Linked DNA regions of Anolis sagrei. The main gene of each other region encodes a partner of the protein of the gene in region 2 in a complex. Links are inferred from orthologs where the notes say so. Each region holds a gene or a part of one and is shown on either strand. Other genes may lie near its edges. The genes, in order: ANP32E, ING3 and BRD8.

Region 1 (10,066 bases), on a different chromosome or scaffold from region 2:
GGAAGGAAGACAAAAGGAATGGATGGATGGAAGGAAGGAAGGAAGGAAGAAAAGAAGGAATTGAGGAAAATGGAAGGAAAGAAAACAGAAGGAGAGAAGGAAATCTGAAGGACAGAAGATGGAGGAAGAAAGGAAAGAAGAAAGGAGTTGAGGAAAATGGAAGGAAAGAAAACAGAAGGAGAGAAGGAAGAAAGATGGAAGGAATGGAGGAAAGAAAGAAAGGAATTGAGGAAAATGGAAGGAAAGAAAACACAAGGAGGGAAGAAAGAAAGATGGAAGGAATGGAGGAAAGAAAGAAAGAAGAAAGTAAGGAATTGAGGAAAATGGAAGGAAAGAAAACAGAATGAGAGAAGTCTGAAGGAAGGAAGGAATTGAGGAAAATGGAAGGAAAGAAAACAAAAGGAGAGAAGAAAGAAAGAAAGAAAGATGGAAGGGAGGGAGGGAGGGAAGAAAAAAAGAAAGAAAGAAAAAAAAAGAAGAAAGTAGAAAGTAAGAAATTGAGGAAAATGGAAGGAAAAAAACCAGAAGGAGGTCTGAAAGAAGGAAGAGGTAAGGAAGGAAAGAAGAAAGGAAGGAATTGAGGAAGATGGAAAGAAGGGAAGAAAGGAGACAGAAGGAAGGAAGAAGGAAGGCATTCAATCCTTCCTCTGTGTGTGCTTTCTCTCTAGCAAGGCAAGAACTCCGAAAAAGCCAAGTAAATTCCACATCCAGCGACAAATGCAAGCAGTGTCCACACACACACACACACAGAACTCCATGCACGGCTTGTCTGCTTTTCAACAAGAAGAAACAAACATGTCTCCCATTCTTAGGGAGAAAGTGTAGACGGGACTCTAAGATGGATTCGGCCTGGGCTTGCTTTCCGGCTGCTGAGAAGTTAAAAATAAAAGAGGCCAGGAGCCTCCGCCATGCGCCGCCACATTTTCCCCCTTTTCTTTTTCGAACAACCAAAATGGTGAAATAGTCGGGGAGGGAGAGGGCCACCCGACTGAGTCGATTGGGGGGTTGGTTAGGGTGTCCTCTCCGAACAAAAGCCTCCGCCTCTTCCTCCAAATGGTTGTAAAAAGGCACGGCGCACACACAAGAGCGCCACCGCCACCACCGCCGCCATCGCGTGACCTAGATTCGAGGGGAAAAGAGCCAGTTAGAAGCAGCGTGGCTAGAAAGAGAGAGAGAGACGAAAAAAATTAAAAATATCAAAGCAGGAGAAAAAGTTTGGGATTTTCGACACTCTTCTTTCCTTGATTAAGCAAAAAAAGGGGGCAAAACTCGCCTTTTGGATTCCAGGGAAGGGAAGAACCTCCATGACCTAGATACGCAACATAAGAACGGAGAATTCTGGATTATGAGGAGTACTAGTCGTACCTTGCCATGCGTTGCTGTGGCCCATATGTGCTTTGTGTGTGTTTAGATGTGGTTTTGCGCATGAATTGGAATGTGTTTTTTTTGTATTTTTTGGCTTTTAAAGTCTCTTCTGCTGTGTTGTAATGTATTTTTTATATATTTTTTGGCTTTTAAAGTCTCTTTTGCTGTGTTTTTCTGAGAGATGGTGACACGTCGGCCTGATCGGTGTCTTGTGTCCGAATTTGGTGTCGATTCGCCCAGTGGTTTTGGAGTTATGTTAATGCCACAAACAAACATTAAATTTTTATTTATATATAGATTGATTGCCCAAAATCCAAACAAGCCAGGAAAAGTCAGATTAAAAAGACACCCCTAAACAGCGTAGGATTGTGGATGATGGTCGTCGTAGGTCGCGGAGAATGTGCCGAAATTGGACCAAAAAAAAGTGACAACGGGAACGTTGTCGTTGAAGGCGCACTTTTGAGCTCGGATTAAATAATTCCAATCATTGAGACGCGAAGGAGACTCTCTAGGGCAGGCATGGGCCAACTTTGGCCCTCCGGGTGTTTTGGACTCCAACTCCCACAATTCCTAACAGCCTACCGGCTGTTAGGAATTGTGGGAGTTGGAGTCCAAAACACCTGGAGGGCCAAAGTTGGCCCATGCCTGCCCTAGAGGATTAAAGAGGCAAATATTTTGGACTTTGGAGGCCGGTAGGCTGTTAGGAATTGTGGGAGTTGGAGTCCAAAACACCTGGAGGGCCAAAGTTGGCCCACGCCTGCCCGAGAGGGTTAAAGAGGCAAATATTTTGGACTTTGGAGGCAGTAAACAACAACAACAACAACAAATCTAGAAGATGGGAGCCAAAGGAAGCCTTTCTCTCTCTCCATCCGTCTCTCAATCTCTTCCAAAACATAAGCACCTCCCAACAAAGGATTTCTCCCCCCAGGCAGGAATCAGCCAAGTCTTGAAGCTGCAAGGCTTCGCCACGCTTGCCTAGTTTCCAACAGACCCCCTTCAACCTCTGAGGAGGCCTGCCATGGATGTGGGCGAAACGTCAGGAGAGAATGCTGCTGGAAAGTGGCCACATAAGCACCTCCCAACAAAGGATTCCCCCCAGGCAGGAACCAGCCAGGCTTTGAAGCTGCAAGGCTTTGCCACGCTTGCCTAGTTTCCAACAGACCCCCTTCAACCTCTGAGGATGCCTGCCATGGATGTGGGCGAAACGTCAGGAGAGAATGCTGCTGGGACGTAGCCGGACAGACCCGAAAACCCGCAGCAACCCAATAATAATAATAATCATCATCATCATCATCATAATGGGTTGCTGTGAATTTTCAGAACTGGAAACCTCCCAATCTTTGAGGATGCCTGCCATAGATGGGGGAGAAACGTCAGGAAAGAATGCTGCTGGAACATGGCCAGACAGACCTGAAAACTCACAGCAACCCAGTGATTCCGGTCATGAAAGCCTTCAACAAGACACTAATAATAATCATAATAATGATAATAATAATGGATTCACCCAGGCAGGAAGCAGCCAGGCTTTGAAGCTGCAAGGCCATTCAGTGCCAATCAAGGTGGCTAGTTGCAACATTCACATGTGCCTCAAGCAGACAAGAGTTTTTTCTCCCACCCACCTACTTCCCAACAAAGGATTTCCCCAGGCAGGAAGCAGCCAGGCTTTGATGCTGCAAGGCCATTCAGTGTTAATCAAGGTGGACAGTTGCAACCTTCACACATGCCTCAAGCAGACAAGAGTTCTTTCTCCCACCCTGGGCATCATTCATTCCACAGACATATAAACCCAATTTTCCTAGTTTCCAACAGACCTCACAACCTGCCATAGATGGGGGAGAAACGTCAGTAGAGAATGCTGCTGGGACGAGGCCAGACAGACCTGAAAACTCACAGCAACCCAATAATAATAATAATGATAATAATAATCACAATTATATCACAATCCAATAACAATAATAATGATAATAATAATAATAATCAAAATTATATCAAAGCAACCCAATAATAATAATAATGATAATGGATTGGTGTGAATTTTGAGACCTGGAAACCTCACAACCTCTGAGGGTGCCTGCCATCGATGTGGGCGAAACGTCAGGAGAGAGTGCTGCTGGAACATGGCCAAACTCACACCAACCCAATAATAATAATAATAATAATCACAATTATATCACAACCCAATACTAATAATAATGATAATAATAATCAAAGTTATATCAAAGCAACATAATAATAATAATAATAACAATAATAATAACGATAACAATAATAATGGGTTGCTGTGAATTTTGGGCGAAACGTCAGGAGAGAGTGCTGCTACATCGTGGCCAGACAGCACTCACAGCAACCCAATAATAAGAACAACAACAATTATATCAAAGCAACCTAATAATAATAATAATAATAATCACAATTGTATCACAATCCAATAATAATAATAATAATAATAATAATAATAATAATAATAATGGATTAATGTGAATTTTTAGACCTGCAACCTCACAACCTCTGAGAATGCCTGGCATGGATGTGGGCGAAACGTCAGGAGAGAATGCTGCTAGAATATGGCCACACAGCCCGGAAAACTCACAGCAAAACCAGTGATTCAGGCCATGAAAACACTATTTGGGGGGGGGGGGGGACACGGAAAGAAGGCCCCCGAAAGAGGAGAGAAACGCAAACAAAACAACACAAATGCGCACATTCGCATATCCAGACATATTTAGGAGGGCTTGGCGTCGAAGGACGGAAGGCAGGAAGGAAGGCAGGGGCGTCTGCCATGGCGAATGCGAGTCGAAAGCGAGACAGGGAGGGAGGCCAAGGCTCACCTTCTCCGGCGCGCGGTTCCTCAACTCCAAATTGATGCGCTTCTTCATCTCCATCCTGCTCCTCTTCTCCTTCTTCTTGGTCTCCCCCTTCTTTAGGCTAGGCCTCCGAAGTCCGGAGGGCAAAAATAATCCGGATTATAACAAGCAGGAGTTCTCTTTCGGGCTGGAAAGAATAACGAGGAGTTTAGGAAAGGAAAATGGCCCTCGAGGCGGCGGCTCCTTCTTCCTCCTCCTCCTCCTCCCGCTGTTTGTGCCGAACGCGCAGCTCCGCTCCCTTCAATGGCCGCTCGCGGACTGAGCCTCCATGACACCACGCATGGGGCCCCCTGCCAGAAGCCCCGCCCACCAGAGGGAGGGGGAGGGAGGACAGCCCGCCTAGGGAAGACCCCATTGGAGGAGGTAGCGCCCCGCCCCCGGCTCCGCGCCATTGGACACTCAGCCTGCTCGTCAAGCAAGCGCCTCCTCCATCTGCACTTCTTCCCTGAGCCTCTTTTGTGAGCAGAGAAGATGTTTATTTATTATTTATTTATTTGCTATACTTATATACCGCCGTTTCTCAGCCCAGTCGGCGACTCAACGCGGTTTACAACAACTTATAACAAACAACAGTATACAGTTTAAAAGCATAAAAACACAATCCACAGTAGTAAAGGTAGTCCCCTGACATTAAGTCCAGTCATGTCTGACTCTGGGGTGTGATGCTCATCTCCATTTCTAAGCCGAAGAGCCAGCGTTGTCCGTAGACACCTCCAAGGTCATGTGGCCAGCATGACTGCATGGAGCGCTGTTACCTTCCCGATGGAGCGGTACCTATTGATCTACTCACATTTGCATGTTTTCGAACTGCTAGGTTGGCAGAAGCTAGGGCTGACAACGGAAGCTCACACCGCTCCCCGGAATCGAACCTGCGACCTTTCGATCAACAAGCTCAGCAGCTCAGTGCTTTAACCCACTGCGCCACCGGGGGCTCCAATCCACAGTACATATATCTATAAACAATCCAATTCATCTCTTGACTAAAATCGCGATCCAGTGTCGTCGTCCAAATTGCCAGTCCTTCAATCATTACACTTATTGCACTGAGTTAACCGAACGCCTGCTCGAACATCCAGGTTTTTAGTCTTTTCCGGAATACCATCAATGAGGGGGCTGATCTTACCTCCATGGGGAGGGCGTTCCATAGCCGTGGGGCCACCACAGAAAAGGCCCTGTCTCTCGTCCCCGCCAGCCGCACCTGTGAAGCAGGCGGGATAGAGAGCAGCCCCCCCCCCCCCGAAGATCTTAGGGTCCTGGTGGGCTGATAGGCCGAGATACGTTCGGATAGGTAAGTTGGGCCAGAACCGTTTAGGGCTTTAAAGGCCAACGCCAGCACTTTGAATTGAGCCCGGTAGCAGATCAGCAGCCAGTGGAGCTGGTGCAGCAGAGGAGTTGTATGCTCCCTGCGCTCCGCTCCAGTTAGTATCATGGCTGCCGAGCGTTGGACTAATTGGAGCTTCCGGGCCATCTTCAAAGGCAACCCCACGTAGAGAGCGTTGCAGTAGTCTAAGCGTTGCAGTAGTCTAAAATAATGTTCCAGCTTATTTATTGCATGCCGGAACACCTCAGCAAACGACAGTCCAAAAGTGGCAGGCTCAAACCCAGAACCTCAACCAATGGCTGATACCATTTAATCCTGTACCCCAGTTTTAATCCTGGCCCAGTTTTCATAGTGTCTTGATGTATTGTTTATTGCATGTCGTTAATATTGCTTTGTTTTTAATTTGCTTTAGGTGTTGTATTGTTGTGTTGTGCTTTGAGGCCTTGGCCTTTGTAAGCCACATCGAGTCCTTCGGGAGATGCTAGTGGGGTACAAATAATAAAAGTTAATAATAATAATACCAAATGAGAGACTCCCTCCTGGGCACACAGAGGACTGGGCGACTTGGAAGGCATTGCACAGACTGCGCTCTGGCACCACGAGATGCATAGCCAACCTTCAGAAATGGGACTACAAAGTAGAATCCTCGACATGCGAGTGCGGAGAAGAGCAAACCACTGACCACCTGCTGCAATGCAACCTGAGCCCTGCCACATGCACCATGGAGGACCTTCTTGCAGCAACACCGGAAGCACTCCAAGTGGCCAGATACTGGTCAAAGGACATTTAACCAGCTACCAAACTCACAAGTTGTGTGAAATTTTCTGTTTGTTTGCTTTGTTCTGTTAGAAATGTAATATAATGGACTGGTTGCTCTGACACGACAAATAAAATCAAATCTGGTCTTCTTCCCTGAGCCTCTTTTGTGAGCAGAGAAGCTTATCAATATCCTTATCAAAGCCTGGCTGCTTGAAACAACCAGGACCAGCTAACACCTCCCAGCAACGGACCCCCCCTCAGGCAGGAAGCAGCCAGGCTTTGAAGCTGCAAGGCTATTCTTACTTAAGTTCCACCTTGTCTCCTGTGCTATGCTAATTTGTTGTTCAATCTAGGTTCTTGTGGGTTATTTCGGGCTATATGGCCATGTTCTAGAGGCATTCTCTCCTGACGTTTCGCCTGCATCTATGGCAAGCATCCTCAGAGGTAGTGAGGTCTGTTGGAATTAGGACCATGGGTTTATATATCTGTGGAATGGCTGGGGTGGTGTTGTTCAGTTGTTCAGTCGGTGGGTTGTTGTAGCTTTTTTCGGGCTGTATGGCCATGGTCTAGACCAGGGATCCTCAAACTAAGGCCTGGGGGCCAGATACAGCCCTTCAAGGTCATTTACCCGGTCCTTGCTCAGGGTCAGTCTAAATCTGAAACAACTTGAAAGCACACAACAACAGCAACAATCCCATCTCATCAGCCAAAAGCAGGCCCACACTTCCCATTGAAATAGTAATAAGTTTATATTTTTTAAATTGTTCTTCATTTAAATTATTGTATTGTTTTAAGTATTTTTTTCCCCTACAAACAAGATATGTGCAGTGTGCACAGCAATTCATTCATGGTTTTTTTTGGGGGGAGGGGGGTTGCAAATTATAATCTGGCCCTCCAACAGTTTGAAGGACTGTGACCTGGCCCTCTGTTTTAAAAGTTTGAGGGCCCCTGTTCTAGAAGCACTCTCTCCTGAAGTTTCCCCCACATCTATGGCAGGCATCCTCAGAGGTTGTGATGTCTGTTGGAAACTAGGAAAATTAGGTTTATATATCTGTGGAAAGTCCAGGATGGGATAAAGAACTCTTGTCTGTTGGAGCTAGGTGTGAATTCTTTCTCCCACCATGGACTTTCCACCCAAATCTAACCATCAAATCGCTTTAATGTTTCACATAGTAATCTAAAAATATAGGTCATTTTATACACAGTTTTTTTAAAAATTTGTACAAGAAACCATGTTTGGGTCTATTGAACTATCAGAAAGCAAAGGAGTCGCTCTCTTAGCTACTCACACGGACAAATTTGGAGTATTTCGGATCTTGGGATTCTGAGTAAAGGATGCTCAGTCGGTACCAAGTTTTCTGTCAGAGGAATCGTGTCCAGAAGTGCATTGACTTCACTGAAGTGTACCTTTATTTTTGTAATGTGTTTTAATTCGAGGAGGTGGCGCTGTAGGGCCACAAATCTTCACAGGGGCTTATGGTTTTACAGCCCTGATTCTAACCTTTGGACTTCAGCTCCCAAAATTCCTGATCATAGGCTGTGTTTTATGATAGTTACAGTCCAAAATAGTCAGAGTGTTATCAAGAGGACTAAAGTTACAGAAACAGGAAAGGACTGGATGAAGGGCTAAGCTAGCGTTTCTCAACCTGGGGGTCGGGACCCCTGAGGGGGTCACAAGGGGGTGTCAGAGGGGTTGCCAAAGACCATCAGAAAACACAATATTTTCTGTTGGTCATGGGAGTTCTGTGTGGGAAGTTTGGCCCAATTCTATCATTGGTGGGATTCCGAATGCTTTTTGATTGCATAATAATAATAATAATAATAATAATAATAACTTTATTTATACCCCACCACCATCTCCTCAAGGGGACTCGGGGTGGCTTACATGAGGCCAAGCCCAACAACACATCAGTAAAAACAAAACAGCAAGCAAAGAAAACAGTACAATTAATATAACTCACTTATGAAGGTGAACTAAGGGGTCTTAGGAACCCTTTTGGTAGAGAAGACCTGCCCTTCTCTTCATTTTTGGTGTTGGTGAACTACAACTCCCAGAATTCAAAAACAGCCCCCCCCCCCCAAACCCAGCAGTATTCAGTGTTGGCCATGTAGGTAGTGTGCCAAGTTTGGGCTGGGTTCAGAGTGCTCTTTGATTGTAGGTGAAATATAAATCCCAGCATCTACAATTCCCAAATGTCAAGGTCTATTTTCCCCAAACTCCACCAGTGTTCACATGTTGGCATATTGAGTATTTGTGCCAGGTTTGGTCCATATCTATAATTGTTTGAGCCCACAGTGCTCTCTGGATGGAGGTGAACTACAACTCCAAATCACAAGGTCAATGCCCAGCAATTACAATTCCCAAACATGAGGGTCCATTTTCCCCAAGCTCCACCAGTGTTCACATTTGGGTATATTGAGTATTCGTGCCAAGTTTGGTCCAGATCTCTCATTATTTGAGTCCACAGTGCTCTCTGGAGGTAGGTGAACTACAACTCCCAAACTCAAGGTCAATCCCCAGCAATTACAACTCCCAAACATAAGAGTCCATTTTCCCCAAGTTCCACTAGTGTTCACATTTCGGGATATTGAGTATTCATGCCAAATTTGGTCCAGATCCATCATTGTTTGAGCCCACTGTGCTCTCTGGAGGTAGGTGAATTACAACTCTTAAACTCAAGGTCAATGCCTAGCAATTACAACTCCCAAACATGAGAGTCCATTTTCCCCAAGTTCCACTAGTGTTCACATTTCGGCATATTGAGTATTCGTGCCAAGTTTGGTCCAGACCATCATTGTTTGAGTCCACAGTGCTCTTTGGAGGTAGGTGAACTACAACTCCCAAACTCAGGTTCAATGTCCACTAAACCGTTCCAGTATTTTCTGTTGGTCGTGGCAGTTCTGTGCCTTCCCGGATTAATGATCCCATCGCACTTTGTCCCTCTAAAGCACTTCACATTTTTTAGGTCTGCTCATATGTCTCTCCACGAGCGCCACTATCACCTGTTCGTCCATGTTCAGCACTATTTCCAATTTTAATTTTACATTTGGCCTTCCCATAGTTTTAATTGTATGTTGTCTTATCGATAATGTTATGTTTATGTTTTTATTTTAATTGCTTGTATTGTCGTGATTATTGCTTGTATTGTGTGTTTGGGCTTGGCCTCATGTAAGCCTCACCAAGTCCCTTGGGGAGATGGTAGCGGGGTACAAATAAAGTGTTGTTGTTATTGTTGTTGTTATTATTATTATTATTATTATTATTATTATTATTATGGGTTTTTGTTTTCAAATTATAATCTGGCCCTCCAACAGTTTGAGGGACTTTGACCTAGCCCTCTGTTTAAAAAGTTTGAGGACCCCTGATATAGATCTTCAAAAGTACCCATGATTTTAAGACACACCCCTTTTGTGAGGTGTTTATTTGGGGAGCAGTGTGTCTTAGAATCGAAGAAATAGAGTAATATGTATTGTCAAAGGCTTTCATGGCCTATGCGGTCAGTGGTTCCCTTGATGTATGGCAGGAACACTTTTCCTCTGGGTGGATCTTTGTCTTGACTCTTGTGGCTTGTTCTCGGTCTTGCAACTCTTCTGATATCTGAGGTGGAGTCTCCATTGGCCTGGAGAGCCAGGTTGAGGTGGTTCAGTTCTTCTTGGAGGAGGTGGGCTTCACAGATTCCCAGAAGACATCACGGCTCTGGTTCACCATTGCCTCACCACCAGTTACTTTCAGTGGGACAATGAATTCTAAGAACAG
Region 2 (10,450 bases):
ATTTGAAAAAGTCAAACACGGTAGGTTCTTGGCATCAACAATCTTAGCAACAACTATGGAAAGCTGGCTGTGTGGTCAGAGACACAGGTCCTGCCCGTGAAAATACCTCTTATGGTTACTGCTTTTGTCAAAATCAGAACCATGGACAAGCATGAGAGGAGGGAAGTTGAGCAATAATTGCTTCAGTTTTTGCTTTGGAGCAAACAAAAAAAGAGCCTAAGAAAAAGAACAGGGAATAGGAAAGTCGTCTTGCTTTACAGCCATATCCAAAACCTCTCACTCAACTGTACCTTCTGACGGAAGGAATAATTTCTCATTAGGTTCACACCTCCAATTTAAAAATATGACTCCAGGGCCTTCTTTATTTTGATCAGAATTTTCCTTACTCTTACCTTTTTAATTGAAGTCATTTGTTCTTCTCTCCATTCCTGTTTGTTTTTCTTTGCATTCATAAAAAATTCATTGACTCTTTGCTCCAGTTGATCCATTGCATCTTAAAACACACAAACATTAAAGTTGCAGTCATTCATCTTCTTATAAATATATAATGGATTGTAAAAGGAGAACAGAAGTATGAGAAATAAATATACTATGGGGCAAACTATTGAAAAATGTGTACGAGGTTAAATTTAGTTTTTTAAAAAAATTAATCTCAATGTAAGATTTATGACATGTACATCAAAAGTCCTAAGTGACTTTTTACAGAAAAGGCATACGGAGTTAAGTGAGACTTTAGTGCAAACTTACATGGTTAAGATTACACCTGGTAACGAATTCTATTACAACTCCTGCAAAAGTGGAGGGTCAACTGAAAGTGGTGGCAACCTCCATTCATATTACTATGCCATTGCATATAATGTGTCTTCAGCATCCACGGATTTTTGTATTTCAGTGGGATGCTGGAACCAATCCATAGTGGATACTGAGGGCCCGATAAATTTAAGCCAATTTGCCATATGAGAAGAAAGAAAGTCAGCTGTGCTTGCAACACAGAGCATTTGGTATGCCCTCACAATCCAAAGTGACAGGAACAAAAAAAGGGCAAAGTTCAATTTGGAAAGGAGAAAAATAAAAAAAATATAGGTTTTTCTCCTCTCAAAAAATCACATAAAGTCATTTTATATTACTTCAATTCCATTGAAGTAATATAAATATATAAATGGACCAATTCCATTAAGCAGTTTATGTCTAGGCAGTGCAATATATATAGGGAGTGCAGTTTATGTATAGGCAGTGCAATATATATAGGGATGGGTCAGGGATTGTAAATGCTATTTCAACTTTGTAAATGCTTTGTAAATGCTATTTCGCCTGTCAAGGGCTGAAAAAATGCGGTATAGAAATAAAGCAAATAAATAAATAAATAAATATATAGGGATGGGTCAGGGATTGTAAATGCTATTTCAACTTTGACTGAAGGAAAATGATATATTTCATGTACTTTAAAAATGCACTTTCAAAGAGCTTTTACCAACTCATTATTTAGTCCACATGGAGACCCACTGAAATTACTTGGAAGAGAAATAATAACCATGGAAACACATATCTTTTGACTTGCATATATTCCAGAGAGGCATTTAAATTCTTTAAGTTTAAAAGTAACCCTATCTATTACCAGTTAGTTGTCCTACACACTTGGTTATCTGTACCCCTAATTATTTGAAACTAAAGAATACAGGCTTTTGCAGCTGAAGTTACATACTTGTAAGTGCTAAGACTCATGATTTGTATTTGGTAATAATATAACCTAGACAATGCCCACTTTCTAAATGAATTAAAAAAGGAAAAGGGGGGAAATGGAAAAACCTAGTAGTATTTACAAGACTTTTATTTTAGCATGACTGTTCATGGATATCAATCAACTCTTCAGATGTAAAACTGAAAAGATGTGAGATATCTACAAAAGCTACGGTAATATTAAAATAAAAACCAGTTCACCTTAAAGGTGCTGTTAATTTTTCTATTCCCCTCCCTGTCTACATGAATAGCTGAGATTCTGAGCTGTACACACATTTTATTTAATTATTTAAAATTTAAAATGTTATAAATAAATGAATTTTGTGTTTAGACTTCAGTTCCATATCTAAGATATCTCATTAGGTACACACAGGTGTTCCAAAATAATCTGAAATCCGAGACACTTCTGGTTTTGAGGGATAAGTTCAAAATTGTCCACCTGGGTGGCTGAGATAGTGATACTTGTGCTTTCGAACATAAATGTACATACATTTCAATGTACATAAATTTGGTTTCAGCACAAAATATTTTAAACACTGTGCATAAAATTATCTTCAGGCTATGTGGGTATAATGTCTAAAAAAATTCAGTGTTTATTTAGACTTGAGTCCTATTTCCAAAATTTCTCATTACATATACATATGTATACAGGGATTCCAAAATAATCCAAATCCCAGGACATTTGCTTGTCCCAAGCATTTCGGATAAGGAATACTCAAGATATATTAACAGAGAGAACAACTTGCCTCAGGGGAGTGTGCTTACTCCATCAATGTTTAACATTTACACTAATCATCAGCGACTGCAGAAGGGACAGAGAATTTCATCTATGCTGACGATCATGCCACTGCTCAAGCAGGGCACTTTGAAATGGTTGAACAGCTCTTCAAAGCTTTAGGTGCTCTTACTGCTTATTACAGGGAAAACCATCTGATTCCTAATTCATCCAAAATGCAGACATGTACTTTTCATCTTAAGAACAGACAAGCATCTCGAGCTCTGAGAACTGTCTGAAAAGGAATCCCATTGGAGCACTGCAGCATACAAAAATACCAGGGAGTCATTCTGGACTGTGTTCTGACTTATAAGAAGCACTGCCAGACTATCAAGCAAAAAGTGGGTGCTAGAAATAATATCATACGAAATCTGGCACAACTTGAGGATCACAATTAGATACAGTGAAGACATCTGCTCTTGCGCTTTGCTACTCTGCTGCTGAATACGCATGCCCAGTGTGGAATACATCTCACCAAGTTAAAATAGTGGAGGTGGCTCTTAATGAGACATGCCACATTATCACAGGAAGTTTATGCCCAATACCGCTGGATAAATTATACCGCTGGATAAATTATACTGCACCACTGCACCACTTGATATCCGTTGGGAAGCAGCAGCCATCAATGAAAGGACCAAGGCCCATTCTCTGCTTGGATATTAGCCAGCATGCCAACGAATTAAATAAAGAAATATTTATTTATTTATTTATGAAATTTCTATCCTGCCTTTCTCGAACCTGAAGGTGACTCAAAACAGCTTACAACTAGGCAGCTAATTGATGCCTAACAATCGTTTTCTAAGATCTATAGAGATACTCTCTCGGTGTGCTTTGAATGCAATTTTTTCTGCTTCTTGGCAGGGAGATGGACTGGATGGCCCATGAGGTCTCTTCCAACTCTGATTCTATAACACTTCAGCATGTGAGAGTCCAAAAGTGGCAGGTTAAAACTGAGAACTTCAATCAGTGGCTGGAATTGAGTAAGAAACTCCCTCCTGAGCACACAGAAGACTGGGTGACTTGGAAGGCACTGAACGGATCCTGCTCTGGCACCATGAGATGCAGAGCCAACCTTAGGAAATGGGGCTAAGTACTGTTTCCTGGAGGTGGGGGAAGGAGGTGAGGGGTGTAAAATCATTAGACACAAGGGAGAGGTAAAGATGGGATTGATAAGATCACTATGAAACAATATGTGATATGTATTCATTATGTATTTCAATATTTAAAAATGTTGGTGGATTGTGATGTTATTCTACCTGTTTCGGCAATAAAAAAAAGACATGGGGGAAAAAGAAATGGGGCTATGAAGTGGAGTCCACAACATGCAAGGATGGAGAAGAAATCACCTACTACAATGCAGTCTGAGTGCTGCCAAATGCACACTGGAGGATCCCTTAACAGAGACACCAGAGGCACTCCAAGTGGCCAGGGAAATTTTGTATAATGCCAAGCTTTTGTGTTTATTTTAAATTCTGTGTTTAACTATGTTGCGGTTTTTTAAAACTTTGTTTGTGTTTTTTTTTATATACATTATAACTGTGTTTTCAATTCACTTCTGACAAGATAAACAATAAATACACAGAGACTCCAATAGAGCTGACTTAATGGTTACTCTGGAAAACACTCGCTCCAGGCTCAGCTTTCCCTTTTGCATAAGAGAAGGGCGGGGGGAGAGGAACTAGGATTAAGCGCCGCCCACACCACGTCAATCAACACGCATGGCGGACAGTGGGCGGAGCCCGCTCACGTACTCTGCACCTGCAGGTCCATCTCGCGCATCTCGGTGAACCTGTCGCGGAGATCCATGGGAAGTTGTTCAATCACTGCGGGGAGGGAGGGGAGAAAGAGCGAGTCAGTCAAGGCAGGGAAGAATAGAGGGGGCGGAGCGAGGGGCGGAGCCTACGCTCCCTCCGCGCTCTCTCTCTCTCGCCCCTCCCTTCTTCGGGCCTAGCGCCCCCCTCCCTCCCTCGCTTCCAACGACTCACTTTCGAGGTAGTCCTCCAAGTACAGCATGGTGGCGGCGGCGGCGGAGAGGCCCGTGGCTTAAGAGGGTCTCGGTTGTTTCAGCGGCGAGCGAAGAGGGGAGTTTTGGGTGGGGTGAAAGGGAAAAAAAAACGCCAACCACCGCCTCGTCCCTTCCAATATGGCGCCGGCACCGCCAACGACACCAGCGGCTCGACTCAGCGAAAACAACATTGGCGGATGACGCTCCGGCTTCGGCCGCCACGCGATTGGCTCCTGGCGCCTCTGACGTAGGCCGGGCGGCTCGCGCCTCTCCCGTTGCTCTCTGGGAAACGTAGTTTCGGCAGAGTCCTGCATCCCGCTAAAGAAGAAAGAAGGAGGAAACTCGCCTTTTGGATTCGAGTTACAAGGGAAAGTTGTTCGTGTGTGAGCTGAGCCGAGGAAACTTCTCAAAATAATACCGTGCATGCTCATTTAGAAGTACTGTGTGACTCTCTGAACTCCTGTGAGGTTGTACTGAGGTAAACCAAGGCAGCTGCAGGTTTCAAAACTTAAGGAGCTCTTAGGCCCCTTCTTCACTGCCAGGTAATTCACGTTAGCAAAACAAAAAATCCACATTATTTATTTATTTATTTGCGACATTTATATGCCGCCCTTCTCACCCTGAAGGGAACTCAAAGCGGCTTACAAGGTATATATACATGCAATATATCATACTAGCTGTCCCCAGCCACGCGTTGCTGTGGCCCAGTCTGGTGATCTGGAAAATAAAGTAATGAGAAAGTTGGTTTCTAATATATGTAATTTCGTTATGCTTGTGGGTAAACAGTGTTGATGTGGAGAGTGTCTGATTTGCCTACTCTGGAACATGCAACATATAATTGTCCTTCTTTAAGGATCCCTTTCGAATCTATTATACTATATCTGTGTGAGAGAGAGTCATATATCTATTATTTATTTATTTACATTGTTTCTATCCCGCCTATATCAGCCCAGAGGCGACTCAGGGCGGTATACACAGTCGGCACACTTTGATGCCATAAATACATACATTAATAAAGCAAAAACATTAAAGTGCATTTAAACATAAAGGCAGTGCAAAATAAAAATTTTAAAAGAACTATGTCCTATCTATGGCTGGATGGGTCTTTGTCAGGAGGGCTTTGATTACGTTTTCTTGCCCTGGTGAAAGGAGTTGGACTGGATGGCCTTAAGTATTTTCTGTTGGTCGTGGGGGTTCTGTGTGGGAGGTTTGTCCCAATTCTGTCGTTAGTGGGGTTCAGAATGCTCTTTGATTGTAGGTGAACTATAAATCCCAGTAACTACAACTCCCAAAGGTCAAGGTCTATTTCCCTCAAACTCCATCTGTGTTTATATTTGGGCATATTGCGTATTCGTGCCAAGTTTGGTCCAGATCCATCACAGTTTGAGTCCACAGTGCTCTCTAGATGTAGGTGAACTACAACTCTCAAACTCTTCTGGTGTTTTCTGTTGGTCAGGGGAGTCCTGTGTGCCAAGTTTGGTTCAATTTCATCGTTAGTGGAGTTCAGAATGCTCTATGATTATAGGTGAACTATAAATCCCAGCAACTACAACTCTCAAATGACAAAATCATAATGTTTTGAGTGATGGTCACTCCTTGTGTTGTAAGACATTTTGTTGCCAAATTTGGTGTGATTTTGTTCATTAGTTCTTTTGTTTTTAAGGTACTCATTATGCACAGAGCATATATATTGTTGTTGTTCATTCGTTCATTCATTTCCGACTCCTCGTGACCTCATGGACCAGCCCACGCCAGAGCTCCCTGTTGGCCATCACCACCCCCAGCTCCTTCAAAGTCAAGCCAGTCACTTCAAGGATACCATCCATCCATCTTGCCCTTGGTTGGCCCCTCTTCCTTTTTCCTTCCATTTTCCCAACATAATTGTCTTCTCTAAGCTTTCCTGTCTTCTCATTATGTGGCCAAAGTACTTCATCTTTGCCTCTAATATCTTTCCCTCCAATGAGCAGTCAGGCTTTATTTCCTGAAGTATGGACTGGTTGGATCTTCTGGTGGTCCAAGACACTCTCAGAACTTTCCTCCAACATCACAGTTCAAAAGCATCTATCTTCCTTCGCTCAGCCTTCCCTAAAGTCCAGCTCTCACATCCGTAGGTGACTATGGGGAATGCCATTGCTTTAACTATGTGGATCTTTGTTGCCAGTGTGATGTCTCTACTCTTCATTATTTTATTGAGATTGGTCATTGCGCTCCTCCCAAGAAGTAAGCATCTCCTGATTTCCTGGCTGCAGTCTGCATCTGCAGTCAGCTTTGCACCTAGAAATACAAAGTCTGTCACGGCCTCCACGTTTTCTCCCTCTATTTCTCAGTTATCAATCATTCTTGTTGCTGCAATCTTGGTTTTTTTTAATGTTTAGCCGCAACCCAGCTTTTGCGCTTTCTTTCACCTTGGTTAGAAGGCTCCTCAGCTCCTCCTCGCAGTACAATATCAGTATTAAATATTACTATATTGTACTATACCATTATATTGTAATATCATTTGTAATATTACATGTCATATAAATATATAATTATAATATCATATTATTATCATATATTGCATTGCATTACATTATAATATAAATATTATATGTATATACAATATATTATATTACATTATATTACATTATATTATAAGCATAGTACAGGAGACAAGGTGGAGCTGGCCCCTGGCCCCCTCTCTCTGGCCCAGAGCAGCAGTTGGTGTTGGGAGGAGGGGTTCCCAACTGATGACATATGCAGGAGACAAGATGGAACTGTCCCCTGGTCCCCTCTCTCTTCATTCTGGCCCAGAGCAGCAGTTGATGCTTTGAGCTGGATTATCGTAGGCCCCTTCCACACAACTGTATAAAATCCACATTGAACTGGATTATGTGGCAGTGTAAACTCAGATAACCCAGGGCATATATTGTGGATTATCTGCAATATCTGCTTTGAACTGGGTTATCTGAGTCCACACTCTGATAATGTGGGATTTTCTGTCTTGATATCCTGGGATAAAGGGCTGTGTGGAAAAGCCCACAGACTTTTGCAAGAAGAAATACAGAAGAAGGAGTAGAAGTGGAAAAACATGGGGAATTTACAAGTGGAAAGTCTCACAAAACACTCAAGTATATTTACCTTCAAGTTGTCTGTCGACTTACGACCACATCATGAATTTCATGGGGTTTTTTCTTAAGCAAGGAATACTCACACCCACAAGGAGATTCAGACCCCTTCTACATTGCCATATAATCCAGATTATTACAGCACTTAATCCACAATATCTGCTTTGAACTGGGTATCAGAATCCACACTGTTCAATTGGGATTTTATACAGCTGTATGGAAGGGACCTCACAGGTGCTTTTGCCAGTTCCTTCCTGAGAAATATAGCCCAAGGGACCTGGTATATGTTAGCAGTCTAAAGGGAGGTATAGCTGTACATACAATACCCCACTTTTTGATGTGTAGGTTATATATCTGTGGAATAAAAAGCCGGAATGAACCAAAAAGGGATGAGCGAGTGCAGACGCATTTGTTTACTGTAATTCTGAACAAGTTTGTGAGAGGCCAAGCAGCAAAGAGGTTGGACCAGGAAAGGAGTTGGCTGGAAGCCTCAGCAGGACACACTACTTTTGCAAGCATTCTTTTCCCTCTTGCACTTTGGTGGCCACTGGAGTTTAGCCATTAGCTGGACTTTGGCTTGTTCCACTCCTTGCATCCTGAAGCCGCTGCAGTGCAATGCCACACACTTCCCAAATGTTTCTGTGGTGCCGCTGGCTTCTTGATGCTCCATGGCCAACCATTTGGCATTTCCTGAAGTGCTCAGAGCTTCATTTCCCCCCAACAACTAAAGGATCCATGCCTCTTCTACGCATTTGCAATCAGCACTTGCAAGGCTTTCTAAACAAGCTGAAGCGTTTTCTGCAGCCTGCTGCAAACACTATACATTGATGCTAACAGATTTGTCTAAATGGTATTCAGGAACGTTTTCCGGTTGCCATTTTTTGTGACCTCAACATTGAACTCAAGGGTTCTCATTTGGGGTTGGGACCCACAGTTTAAAAAGCAGTGTTCTCACAAACAGTTCAATGCAACTATGGAGGTTGCTTTGAACTATTTGTATGTATAAGCATCAGCTGTTTGCATGAGTTACTTACAAAATAAGCTAAAAGAGGGAGAAAGGTGTTTAAGCGAGACTTGCTTACAACAGATCAAGTGCTGTTTGATACTATTTCCCTCTATGCCATTTTTGCTCATTCAATCAGTGCCTATGAGGTGGGTAGTATTCCTTCACTCTCTATTCAGCCTGTGCTGCTTTTGACATCATGGCCAGTGAGTCTCTTACAGTATTAGAATACATCATGGCAGCTAAGGGCAGTGATAAAGCTAAAAGATCCCATAGAGTTCTCAATTTGCAAGAAAAGCTAGACCTAATCAAACTTGGTGAGGGAAGCATGTCCATGAGTGACATGGGCCGCAAACTAGGCGTACCTCGCTCCACAGTTAATACAATTGTTAAGAATAAAGCCAGGGTGATAGATAAAATAGGAAAGCTACACCGGTGAATACTAAAGTTATTAGAAAAGGGGGTGGATTATTTGCTGACATGGAAAAGTTTTAAATGAGTGGATTCAAGACCAAACCAGTCACAATATTCATTTCAGCATAGCCATTTTCCGCATCAAAGCCTTAAGTCTGTTTAATATGATGAAGGCTGAAAGAGGAAAGGCATCTGCTGAAGAAACTTTTGAGCCTAGCAAAGGCTGGTTCAATAGATTCAAAGCAAGGTCCAATTTGCATAAAATAAAAGTGCAAGAAGCATCTAGCACAGAAACTGCAATGGTAGAAACCTATCCCACAGAATTTGCAAAAATTATAGAAGATGATGGCTACACAAAGGAACAGATTTTCAGTGTTGATGAAACAGTCCTATATTGGAAGAAAATGCCAGCAAGAACTTTTATTGCAAAAGAAGAGAAATCTATGCCTGGATTCAAACCTGCAAAAGATAGGTTGACATTGCTGCTAGAGGCTAATGCAGCTGATGACTGTAAACTCAAGCCTATGCTTATATATCATCCTGAGAATCCTAGAGCCCTTTAAAACTATTTAAAGTTTACCCTTTCAGTTTATTACAATATTTATTATATTATTTATTTAAAATGTTTGTATCCCAATCTTCTCTACTTCCGTAGAGGGACTCAGACCGGCTAACAGCAAGTATTCAATGCTCACAAACAACCTTTGAAACATCATATATAAACAATAAATTAAAAATACATATCAGATAAAAAGCATACTAAAACATTCGCCAGGATAAAAACGTCCAACTCAGCCCGCATATTGTGGTCAATACCTTAGTCAATTACCGATCTCAGCCATCACTCTGCAAATGCTTTGCAAGGTCAGGAGGGAGGGGGCAGATCTAATTTCATTTGGGAGAGTGTTCCATAGCTGGGGAGCCACCACAGAAAAGGCCTTGTCTATTGTCCACACCAAACACTACTGCAAAGGTAGCGGGACCAAGAACAGGGCCTCTCCTCTTAACACCCTTGACGGTTGGTAGGGGGGAATACGTTTGGACAGGTAAACTGGGCTGAAACAATAGTATTGTAAAAGCTTGGATGACTTAATTTATTTGCAACTTGGTTTTCTGATTATTTCAAGCCTACATTTGAGGCTTACTGGAAGGAAAAGAAGATTTCCTTTAAGATTCTACTTCTTGTTGATAGTGTTCCAGGCCACCCTAAAGATTTAACTGGTTTCTTCAGAGAAATTCAAGTTGTCTTCATACCTGCAAACACGGCTTTGCTGCTGCAGCCAATGGATCATGGTGTGAATTCTTCATTCAAATCTTACTCCCTAAGGAGGACGTTTGCAAAGGCTGAAGGTGCCTTAAATGATGATTTTTCTGAGGAATCCAAGCAAAATAAATTAAAAGCTTTTTGGAAG
Region 3 (9,905 bases), on a different chromosome or scaffold from region 2:
TAAATTTCTCTCAGGGGGAGATCCACATGTAGCCCTATCAGTGTAAGGAATGGAGTTCCATCTAAATTCAATTTTTCCAGTATGAAATGCAAAGGCCTTCACCTTCAGAAATTAGAACACTAACTAATAGAATTCTGGCTGCTAAAATGTGCAGTGAGATGTGCTTAGTTTAGGCATCATCCACGTTGTCATTTCAGTTTAGTACAGCAAAATTCCCAACAAATCCACCCCCACCCACCTCCAATTACGGTATTTTTTTGTCTGAACCAACATACTATACTGGGACAAAAATGTTCCATGTCATTTTTCATCAAATGATTATAAGTAGAACAGATATATTCTAATTGGCAACAGGTTGGTTGCATCAAGTGCAGGGCAAGAAAGACAATTAATTCTCCATGGGTTCATTAAACACAAGACAGTTTAAGTTTACCTATCCATTAATACTATACCAAAATTCCCACAGAATCAGAAAACACCTGTAAACACACTCAATGGAAGGGTTTTTTTATTCATATTTATTCACACGCTCAAAGTGAGTCCCAAAGACAAATATACTCCAAATATGAAACGAAAGCTTATTGACATTATCAAGGTGAAAATGAAACATCTTACTTTCTGAGAAAACCAATCAGGTGGGCGTCCTGGCTCTGCAAAAGGTTTGATAGCTCTGCTGACAGACACCCTAGAGAAAAATAAAGTAGTTGAAGATCTTTAATCCCCCTTTTTCAACAATTCAGTGGGAAAACATTTGGTCTCATGTTCAGAGTCCTGGAAACCACAAGATACACACAATAGACTTTATTTTTGCTTACTCATGCAATCCTTACCTGACCTGGTTATTTCATTTCACATGTGCATAGTTTTGAATAGCACTGAAACATGTTGAACCGCTCTTTTTTCTGGTGTAGAAACCTATTCCTACACTTTCCATGTTATTTCTGCCTCTGGTATCAAATTTTCTGTTTAAAAAGCAATATGCTGGACTACATCTACATCATTAACTGAGACAGATGAACTTCACTGGATGACCTTGGCTCAATTTTTCTCTCAGCCTAACTCACCCTTCATTAAGTCAGGATAATCACCAATCTGTCCCTACATACAATCGGAGAGAACTTGTTTTCAGGTAGCTGTATTTATCAACTGGTTTTCACCGTTTTCAACAAATTCAAAGCTAATATCACAAACAGCACTAAAATATGTAAATCTCAGCAAGTAAACATCCTCTACCTGGAATTCTGAAATCTGATATACTCCAAAATCCAAAACTGTAAAGATAGGTGGCTGATATAACAACACTTTTGTTTTCTGATCATTCATGCTACACAAACTTTGCCTTATGCACAAATTAATAATAATGTATATAAAATTATCTTCATGTTATGTGTATAAAGTGCATTTTAAACTTAAATGAATTTTGTGTTAAGACTTGGATTCCATCTCCAAGATATCACATTATGTATGCACATGCAAATACTGTATTTACTTGAATCTAACACTCACCTTTTTTGGCTAGATTACCTTGCCAAAATTAGGGTGCACATTAGATTTGCATAATAGGGTAATTTTAGTGCTGAGCCAAAGCAATAGAGGAAGCTGCTGCAGGAGCACATGGAGCTTTTTTGAGGGGTGTCATCTATAATTTAATTGTCAAAGCTCAATGCTATGTAATCCTGGAATTTGTAGTTTGATGAGGCATCAGCATTCTTTGGCAGAGAAGGCTCAAGGCTTTTAAAAACTACAGCCCCCATGATTCCATAGCACTGAACTATAGACGTTAAAGTGGATTCATTCCACAACATAGATGCACTCCACTGTTTCTTTTCCATTGCTGAGAGCTTTGGTGTTCTTATTTAATAGTTTTTACAGAAGGAATTCTAAGCAGGGAGTAACTGTAATGGGCATAGTACAAAAAGTGTGTATCTTTTGCTGCTATGCATTGCAATCGTTAGCAATTTTTTTGTTTTTAGGTGTTTGAAAATTGAGGTAAACATTAGATTCGATGGTACCTTAGACTTGAGTAAATATGGGTACATACATATTCCAAAATCTGGAAAAAAAACTTCAAATCCAACTCCCCTTCTAATCCCAAGCATTTAAGATAGGGAATGCTTGACTTGTACTTGGTAATTAAGAACTACAACAAATTAATTCAGAATTTTGTTCAAAGAACAGATAATATTGTTAATTGAAATTACAATGCCCAGGACTTAGCAGCAAGTTTTGGCAAATTACATCTCCTAGTATGAACCTGCCCAGGCCCTAAGATCTTCAGGAGAAGGCCTTCTATCAGCTCTGGCTGCCTCAACTCTGGAGCTCCCCTTCTTCCTAGAGAAACCTGATCGGCCCCTCCCTGCTGTCCTTTTGTTTTGGTGGCAGGCTAAAACCTCTCTTTTCAGGCAGGTTTTTAAAGAACATTTTAAAGGCCAATCCTTGGGCGGGGGTGGGGTGGGGCAACTAGCCCCTAGGTATTTTAATAGATTTTAGTTATTTAAATTTATAGCGATTCTATGTTCAAGACTACTTTAATATTTATATGTTGTAGACTTTAAACTGCATTGCCTCAATTAAGGAACGTTAGCTATAAATAATAACAACAATAATCAGCATGCATCTCATACCAGTTCTGGTCCCCACTTCGCATGACAGAGGAGGCCAAGCACAGTTTCTCCCGGATGGACCATGGCTCTGTGGGCCCGACATTCAGCAACTTGTGCTCTGGAAGTCAGAGAGAGAAAGAGAAGAGATAAACACTGCAATGTTGCAACCTGCCCACAGATCCTTTTGTGACAGCACCTCAAAATAAACCTAACTTTGTCCGTGCAGCCGCCAATCTCAATCAATACTCCTATTTAAGTAAGCCTCAAGAGCAGCATGGGCAAACTTGGGCCCTTCAGGTGTTTTGGACTTCAACTCCCAAAACACTTGGAGGGCCCAAGTTTGCCCATGCCTGTTCAAGAGACTGCAGTAGTAGTATGCTGCTAGGTTATAGTTCTCAGCCCTATGAATGCCCTGAAAAGGTGTGTGGCAGCAGATATGTTGTTTTAAAAAAGCAATGCTTTTCATGAGAACCACCACTCCTCTTAATGTCCTCCACTCCCCCCCCCCCCCAGCAATAGCAAGGGAATCCCCTCTGGGCAGCTAAACCAGGAAATTCCAATTGGATAGCCCCCCATGAAGGTCTTCCTCCAGGGGCAAACCAAAAATGAGCAACTTGGAAGTCCCTAAACAGACTCAGAAGTGGACTGTGCAGATCAAAAGACAACCTGGCAAAATGGTTGTCAGTCGCACAAGGTGGAAGAATCTGCGACTGCGGAGCAGAACAAAAGACTCTGCAGCTGTATGTGTGCCCACAATGCCCTGCTTCATGCACAGAGAAAGAACTGTTTAAAGCTAGACAATGCTGGGTTGCTGTGAGTTTTTTGGCCTATATGGCCATGTTCCAGATGCATTCTCTCCTGATGTTTCACCCACATTTATGGCAGGCATCCTCAGAGGTTGTGAGGTCTGTTGGAAACTAGGCAAGTGGAGTTTATATACTTATGGCATGTCCAGAGTGGGAGGCTGGCCATTCCAAAGCCAGACTCTCAAGCTGCAAGGAAATTAAAATGTGAATTAAGGTAGCCAATTACAACATTTACACCTGCCTCAAGCAGACAAGAGTTCCACATAAATCCCACTTGCCTAGTTTCGAACAGACCTTACAACCTCTGAGGATGCCTGCCATAGATGTGTGCAAAACGTCAGAATGCTTCTGGAACATGACCATACAGCCTGGAAAACTCACAGCAAACCAGCGATTCTAGCCATGAAAGCCTTTGACAACACAATGTGGTCGCTGTTGCCCTTTTTTGGCCAAAAATTATTTAGCTGGTTGTGTTCCCTCTATTTTATCAGTTTTATAATTTATTTATGCAATTCTTTTGACACATTTTTTTCTGTGTCAGGAGCAACTTGAGGAGCCCTCAGTGGTGCAAAGGGTTGAACCCTTGTGCCGGCAGGGCTGAAGGTTTGAATCCGAGGAGAGCGCGGATGAGCTACCCCTGTCAGCTCCAGCTCCCCATGCAGGGACATGAGAGAAGCCTCCCACAAGGATTGCGAAACATCAAAACATCAGGGCATCATCTTTGCAGACAGCCAATCCACCAGAAGGGGCTTGCAGAAGCGACACGAAATAAATAAGAAGATATGTTTTTCCCTACATGGAGGAAAGGGGGGGGGGGGGGGGGAAGCCTGGTAAATGTGTTGTCGAAGGGTTTCATGGCCGGAATCATGGGTCGCTGTAAGTTTTTCGGGCTGTATGCCCATGTCCCAGAATCATTCACTCCTGACGTTTCGCCTCTCACAACCTCTGAGGATGCCTGCCATAGAGGCAGGCGAAACGTCAGGAGAGAATGCTTCTGCAACATGGCCATACAGCCCGAAAAACTTACAGCAACCCAAGACCTGGTAATTTTATGGAAGCTGTTAAAAAAACGCAGGCACCCTGTCACCCGCCGCCCGCTCGCCTTATTTCCTTCCTCCACCCTCTCCTCAAAAGACAGACCCCCACTCACTACCCGTCCCGGCGGCCATCTTTCCGACGCACGCCCGGTGCGTGCCGGGAAAGGGGCCGCGAGCTATGCCATAGAGCGGTGGGCGGTGCTTCCTCCTCAAAGCCGCGTTCTTATTGGCCGACGCCTTGCTTTCCCTTCCCGGCACGTGTTTGGTCTGAGCCGGAAGCGCGACAGTGCGGGAGAGGCGCGTGGCTCCTTCCCGGCGGAGAAGCAGGCATGGGCCGGGCCAGCAAGCGCCAGGAGGCCGAGGAGGAGCAGGCGGCGCCGGAGACTGAGGCCACCCCGGAGCGCTCCTACCACGAGCTGGTGGAGAACGTCAACGCCATCGCGCGGCCCCTGGCCTCCCGCAAGCTCACGCGGAAGCTCTACAAGTGCATCAAGAAAGGTGCAGGAAGGAAGGGGTTGGGCCTGCATCTACTGTACTCAGGCATGGGCAAACTTGGGTCCTCAGCTTAAGCGGCTGAGGGTGAAAAGGAAAGGGCCTGAGGCTGTTAGGAATTGTAGGAGTTGAAGTCCAAAACATCTGGAGGGCCCAAGTTTGCCCATGCCTGGCCTAGGTCAAACTGCATTAACTCTGCAGTGTAGGTGCACCTTTGGGAAAAGGGGAGGTTTTAGGGGCAGCACTCCTGGAGAGAGGGGATGGGGGTCTTCAGAGGGCTCCCTTTCAAGCCTCCTTGCTGGGTTGGTGGCTTCCCACATACATATTCTCTCTCCCCTTCTACTTGCAGCATCGAAGGTAAAACAGATTCGGCGTGGAGTGAAAGAGGTCCAGAAGTTCATTAACAAAGGCGAGAAGGGGTAAGAATCTTAACATGATTTGCGATAGAAGACTCCCCAAGGACCACCCGGTGCGCTACTCACAGATGCCAGCCCCTCCTTTGCCAGAAAAGAAAGTAACACAGCCATGGGGTTGGAAGAAACCCCAAGGGCCATCTAGTCCATGCAGAAACATCCAAACAAAGCACTTGTCGGATGGCCATCCAGCCTCTGCTTAAAAAGATTCCACCCCTCTGAGGGAAAAAGACTCCGCCCCTCTGACGGAGCAAATTCCATTTCACTAAGCATAAACTATTTCTTGTCCCAGGTGTAATGTCATGTTTGCAGTTAGCTGCCTTTAATTCTCATACCAGGGGAAAGGCAGTATAAAAATGAAGTAATTAAATTAATATTGGAATGATCACAGGTGCCTCGCGCTTAATTCCTTTAGAGCATTTGTCTTTTTTAGTGCTTCTTAAGCTATCTAATATGGGGGACAACTGCCCCCCTGCTCCCCAGAAAGCCAGAGATAAGCACACTTGTGCTCATTAACTATAACTACAGTATTTCCTTCTTGGAAACAACATGCACCAGCGGCCAGTAGATTACTGACCTGCACCAGCCCACAAACCACCATTTTGGGTATCAGTAGGTATTCTGCCTATGCAGGAATCTGCGATATTGTTCCTTGAATGATTTGCTTCCCTCAGAGTTTCCTGTGTCAAGTTTGACACAGTATGGCTGACTTCAGTTCAGTCATCCGCTGCAGATCTTGGAACTAAGTCCTCTCTTTGTAGTGTTCCTGATTGTTATGAGTGAATTACAGGGTGTTTCAAAATGATGGACACAGTTTGAAAGCAGTGTATTTCACCATGGTAACATCTTATAGTTACACAAAAAGTTACAAATGGTTTAATGAGTTATCATTTTTACTATTTTGAGCCAGAAACAAACCTAAAAATTAACTCCTCAAATGGAAAATATCTCATTAGTCCTTATGTGGGTCACCATCTTGCAAATGACTGAGGCTAAAGGCTGTTTGTAATTCTTTGAAGTTCTATGCCTCATCCTTCCAAAGGGTAAGTTTCATTTATGAGTGGTTTGTGGTTGCAGAGAGATAGCCATTTCAGATCACGTCCTTCTTTTAGAAACACCTTGTATTTCTGTGTCATGTGGGAAACTAAAATGTGCCCATGTGTCAAAAATGCAAACTTTAGGAGGCCACAATGATGATGAAGCCATGATGAAGCCAGAAGTCATATAACAGCAGCATTGTTTTCATTTGGATCTGCATAATGTTAACCTCAGTGCCTCACACTGACCTATTTGCCTTTTTTATTTCTCACATTCTGTCTGTGTGAGAGTACGAGTCTCTTAAGTCGAATCCAATTTATGTGAATACTGACCACACTACAAATATTTAAAAATTAGGTAGCAGAGAATTGGTTTGTAAAGCAGCTGCAGAGAGCAGAATTTACTCAGAAATTCTGCTGAGATTGAGGAGGCTTACAACTATCAACAGTATTGCAACTTTATATTATGAAGAGGGATTAACAGTAGCTTTGTTGTTCTCCCACTTCATTAAGGAGCAATGTCTAGTCCTTTTTTAAATGGTATCCTGCCTGTTTCTCTTAGGATCACAGTTCTTGCAGGAGACACACTGCCTATTGATGTTTACTGCCATATCCCCATCATGTGTGAAGACCGGAATCTTCCATATGTCTACATCCCCTCCAAAACGGTAATGATTTAGAGGAGGAACAGGGAAGGGGGCCTTCTTATTTGTATGTCTTATGGGAACTGAATGCAAGTTGGGAAGCTACAGGCGGTCCCCGAGTTACAAACATCTGACTGGGTTAAGAACGGGGGCGAGACAACAGGAAGTGAGAGAAATCTACCCCTCAGAAGGGAAATTCACTCCTGGAAGAGTTATCATGTGGGAAAGTTGTCTCCACTGAAACTTTCCCACCAATCCTTTTTACCACAAGACGGGTTTATCAAAATCCAATTGTTACAAGGACAGAGGGTGAGGTTAAATCTTCTGAACAGGGGAACAGACAGCAAAACAAATACCACAGGGGTGTTCACCCTTCCCTATGTTATCCAAAGCTAAAAATTACTTATTTTTGGCTGGAATTACACTGAAAAATATTATTTGTTCTGACTTACATACAAACTCAACTTAAGGACAAACCGACAGAACCTATTTTGTTCATAACTTGGGGGCTGCCTGTATTTGCATTCAGTTCAGTAATTTGTAATGCTATTGAGGGTGAGTTGCGGGCATATATAATGAATGTCTTTGAAGTTCTACTTAATAGAATCTTAAATATGGTGTCCAGATTCTGAAAGAGATAATTTGCCTTTATCTGCAACCTTAAATTTTGTGATCCAGGCTGTCCACATTGACTGAACCAGGTTTGAATGCAGGGGCTGATGTAAGGGATTCCTGTGTTAAAGAGGTCAAAGCAGGATACAACCACTTTCATATAGAAAGTCTTAGATTGAGTCTCCCTGCTATACAGGATCATGTTATAGCTTTGTAACAGTTTTAATAATGTCAATTACTGACAGTCAATTACAATTTCTATAACACAGGAAAATCATTTTGTATTCTGAAATAAGTGCCACATTGCAGGTTTTATGAGGCTTTTGAAAATTGTCATCTTTTTGATGTGGTGGGATTGATTTGTCATGCTCAAAAACAATGGATCAGTTCATCTTGACTTATGGGACATGTTTATGTAAATTGTGACAGTGGAGCTATGTATCTGTTAAATCATTTGTAAACTAGACAAATATTTGTTTTCTTTTCTCAGGATTTAGGAGCAGCTGCAGGTTCAAAACGTCCAACTTGTGTTATCTTGATTAAATCTCATGAAGAATATCAGGAAGCCTACGATGAGTGTTTTGAGGAGGTCGAAGCCCTTCCACTCCCATTGTGAACATCAACAAAATATGTTCATGGACTGATTTAAATTTTCATTTAGGTTCATTCCAGTTGAGTAATAGCTACACAGATTTGGAACATTTGGACAGGAGAACTTGCCTTGAATAGAGTACTGCAGCTAATACCGTCTGCAGTCCAACAACTCTTTTCTGTTTTAACTGACTTATGAAGTGTGTTTTTTACAAAATGTGATTTATTTTGCAATATAATCTACTGCCTATGTGGATATATCGAGCTGTAAAGGCATTCTTATTTGATATAAATGCAGTAAAATATTTTCTAAAACATCCTATATGCATGGAACATTCTTTTACTGGCTGTCTTGGCCTATACATGCAGTTGATAAGGTATCCATCTTGTTTTTATGCAGCCTTTGCATATTTAATATGGAGCTGGGGACTTAGGAACACTGAAGGTGGGGAAACTGTGACTACAGTGGGGGCAGGACAAACATTCTTAGAGGGCTTCCCAGACTATTGGAGCTGAGGTATGAAAAATGTGCCCCACAACAGGTACACTCACCCAGCTGCCTTATGCTTTTTTTTGGGTGGGGGGAGGAAGGACTAGCAATCACAGACACCCCCCCCCCCCGCCATGCCTAGGACTGCTGTGTGCACATCAATAGATCCCTGTGCCTCAAGAGGAAGGAGAAGATGAGTGCAGTTAATGTACTGTCTACTTCCTTTTTAGTCTGGGCTGCTGTGTGAATGCATATGCGCATTCACACAGCAGCTCCACATCTCAGGAGGGGGTGGCAACTCTGGCTATTGGTGCTCCCCCTCCAGCTTACAAAAAAATTGTTCTTAAACTGAATTTGTATGCAAGTCAGAACAGGTACATTTTTAAAGTTAACTCCAGCCAATTTTTGTTTAGTTTTGAATAGTATAGGGAAGGGTTAACACGTTTATTTTGCTGTCTGCATCCCTGTGCAGAAGGCTTCACCTCACGTTGTCCCCATGACAATTGGATTTTGACAATTTTTGGTTGTGGAAATAAGGATTGATGACAACGCTTCAGTAGAGATACCTTTCCCCTCCCCATGATAACTCTTTCAGGGTTGAATTTCCCTTCCTAGGGGTAGATTTCCTCAGTTCTGCAGTTTCAACTAAGTCTGAGTTCAAAACTATGACTTGCTACTTCCACAATGAAATGAAATTTCTGTTTCAGTTTGTAATCTAGATTTTTTTGTTCTTAATCTTGGATTCCCAAGATGATTTAGATTTCAGCTCTTGGAAGCCCTGGCCATTACTAAGGAGTTGGACAATGAAATGTTGAGAATTAGTGCTATCAATCACTACATAATAAAATGGAAGGAGATACTGTATGGGTGATCTCTAGAGGGTTTCTGTGGCTGGGTTTGAATTTGAACCCTGGAGTCCTACTCCACTGCTTTCATCAGCTGTCTTATGTGAAATTTACTAGGCTGAAGATTTTCAGAAGTGATATTGTAAGGAATACACCTCTTTTAGAGAAATATTTCCTTGGTTTTAAATAAACAAAAACCAAAAACATTCACCAAGCAATCTGAAAAGAAATTTAATTAGATATATTCCTATGCCACTCCTCCCATAGTCATAACAGTCATTGGTGCCCTAGAGAAGGGCAAAATAATGATCACATGCAGTCAGATAAAATCCCAA

Evidence for each region.
Region 1: ING3 (region 2) and ANP32E share a complex: the UniProt entries of both Homo sapiens proteins name them as parts of the SWR1-like complex. The link is inferred for Anolis sagrei from reciprocal best matches to the Homo sapiens genes ING3 and ANP32E.
Region 3: ING3 (region 2) and BRD8 share a complex: the UniProt entries of both Homo sapiens proteins name them as parts of the SWR1-like complex. The link is inferred for Anolis sagrei from reciprocal best matches to the Homo sapiens genes ING3 and BRD8.

The regions. Positions count from the first base shown.
Region 1 is NC_090032.1:5,805,068-5,815,133, forward strand, and holds the start of ANP32E (acidic leucine-rich nuclear phosphoprotein 32 family member E), read right to left. Parts: upstream 4,530-10,066; 5' UTR 4,248-4,529; coding exon 4,194-4,247; intron 1-4,193. UniProt on the Homo sapiens protein: Histone chaperone that specifically mediates the genome-wide removal of histone H2A.Z/H2AZ1 from the nucleosome: removes H2A.Z/H2AZ1 from its normal sites of deposition, especially from enhancer and insulator regions.
Region 2 is NC_090025.1:128,894,258-128,904,707, forward strand, and holds the start of ING3 (inhibitor of growth protein 3), read right to left. Parts: upstream 4,718-10,450; 5' UTR 4,526-4,717; coding exon 4,498-4,525; intron 4,336-4,497; coding exon 4,264-4,335; intron 494-4,263; coding exon 393-493; intron 1-392. UniProt on the Homo sapiens protein: Component of the NuA4 histone acetyltransferase (HAT) complex which is involved in transcriptional activation of select genes principally by acetylation of nucleosomal histones H4 and H2A.
Region 3 is NC_090022.1:76,369,322-76,379,226, forward strand, and holds the start of BRD8 (bromodomain-containing protein 8), read right to left. Parts: upstream 4,630-9,905; 5' UTR 4,579-4,629; coding exon 4,560-4,578; exon of another isoform or gene 4,550-4,559; intron 2,722-4,549; coding exon 2,625-2,721; intron 686-2,624; coding exon 616-685; intron 1-615. Other genes in the region: NHP2 (H/ACA ribonucleoprotein complex subunit 2), read left to right, coding at 4,776-4,944, 5,288-5,357, 6,951-7,056, 8,135-8,260. UniProt on the Homo sapiens protein: May act as a coactivator during transcriptional activation by hormone-activated nuclear receptors (NR). Isoform 2 stimulates transcriptional activation by AR/DHTR, ESR1/NR3A1, RXRA/NR2B1 and THRB/ERBA2.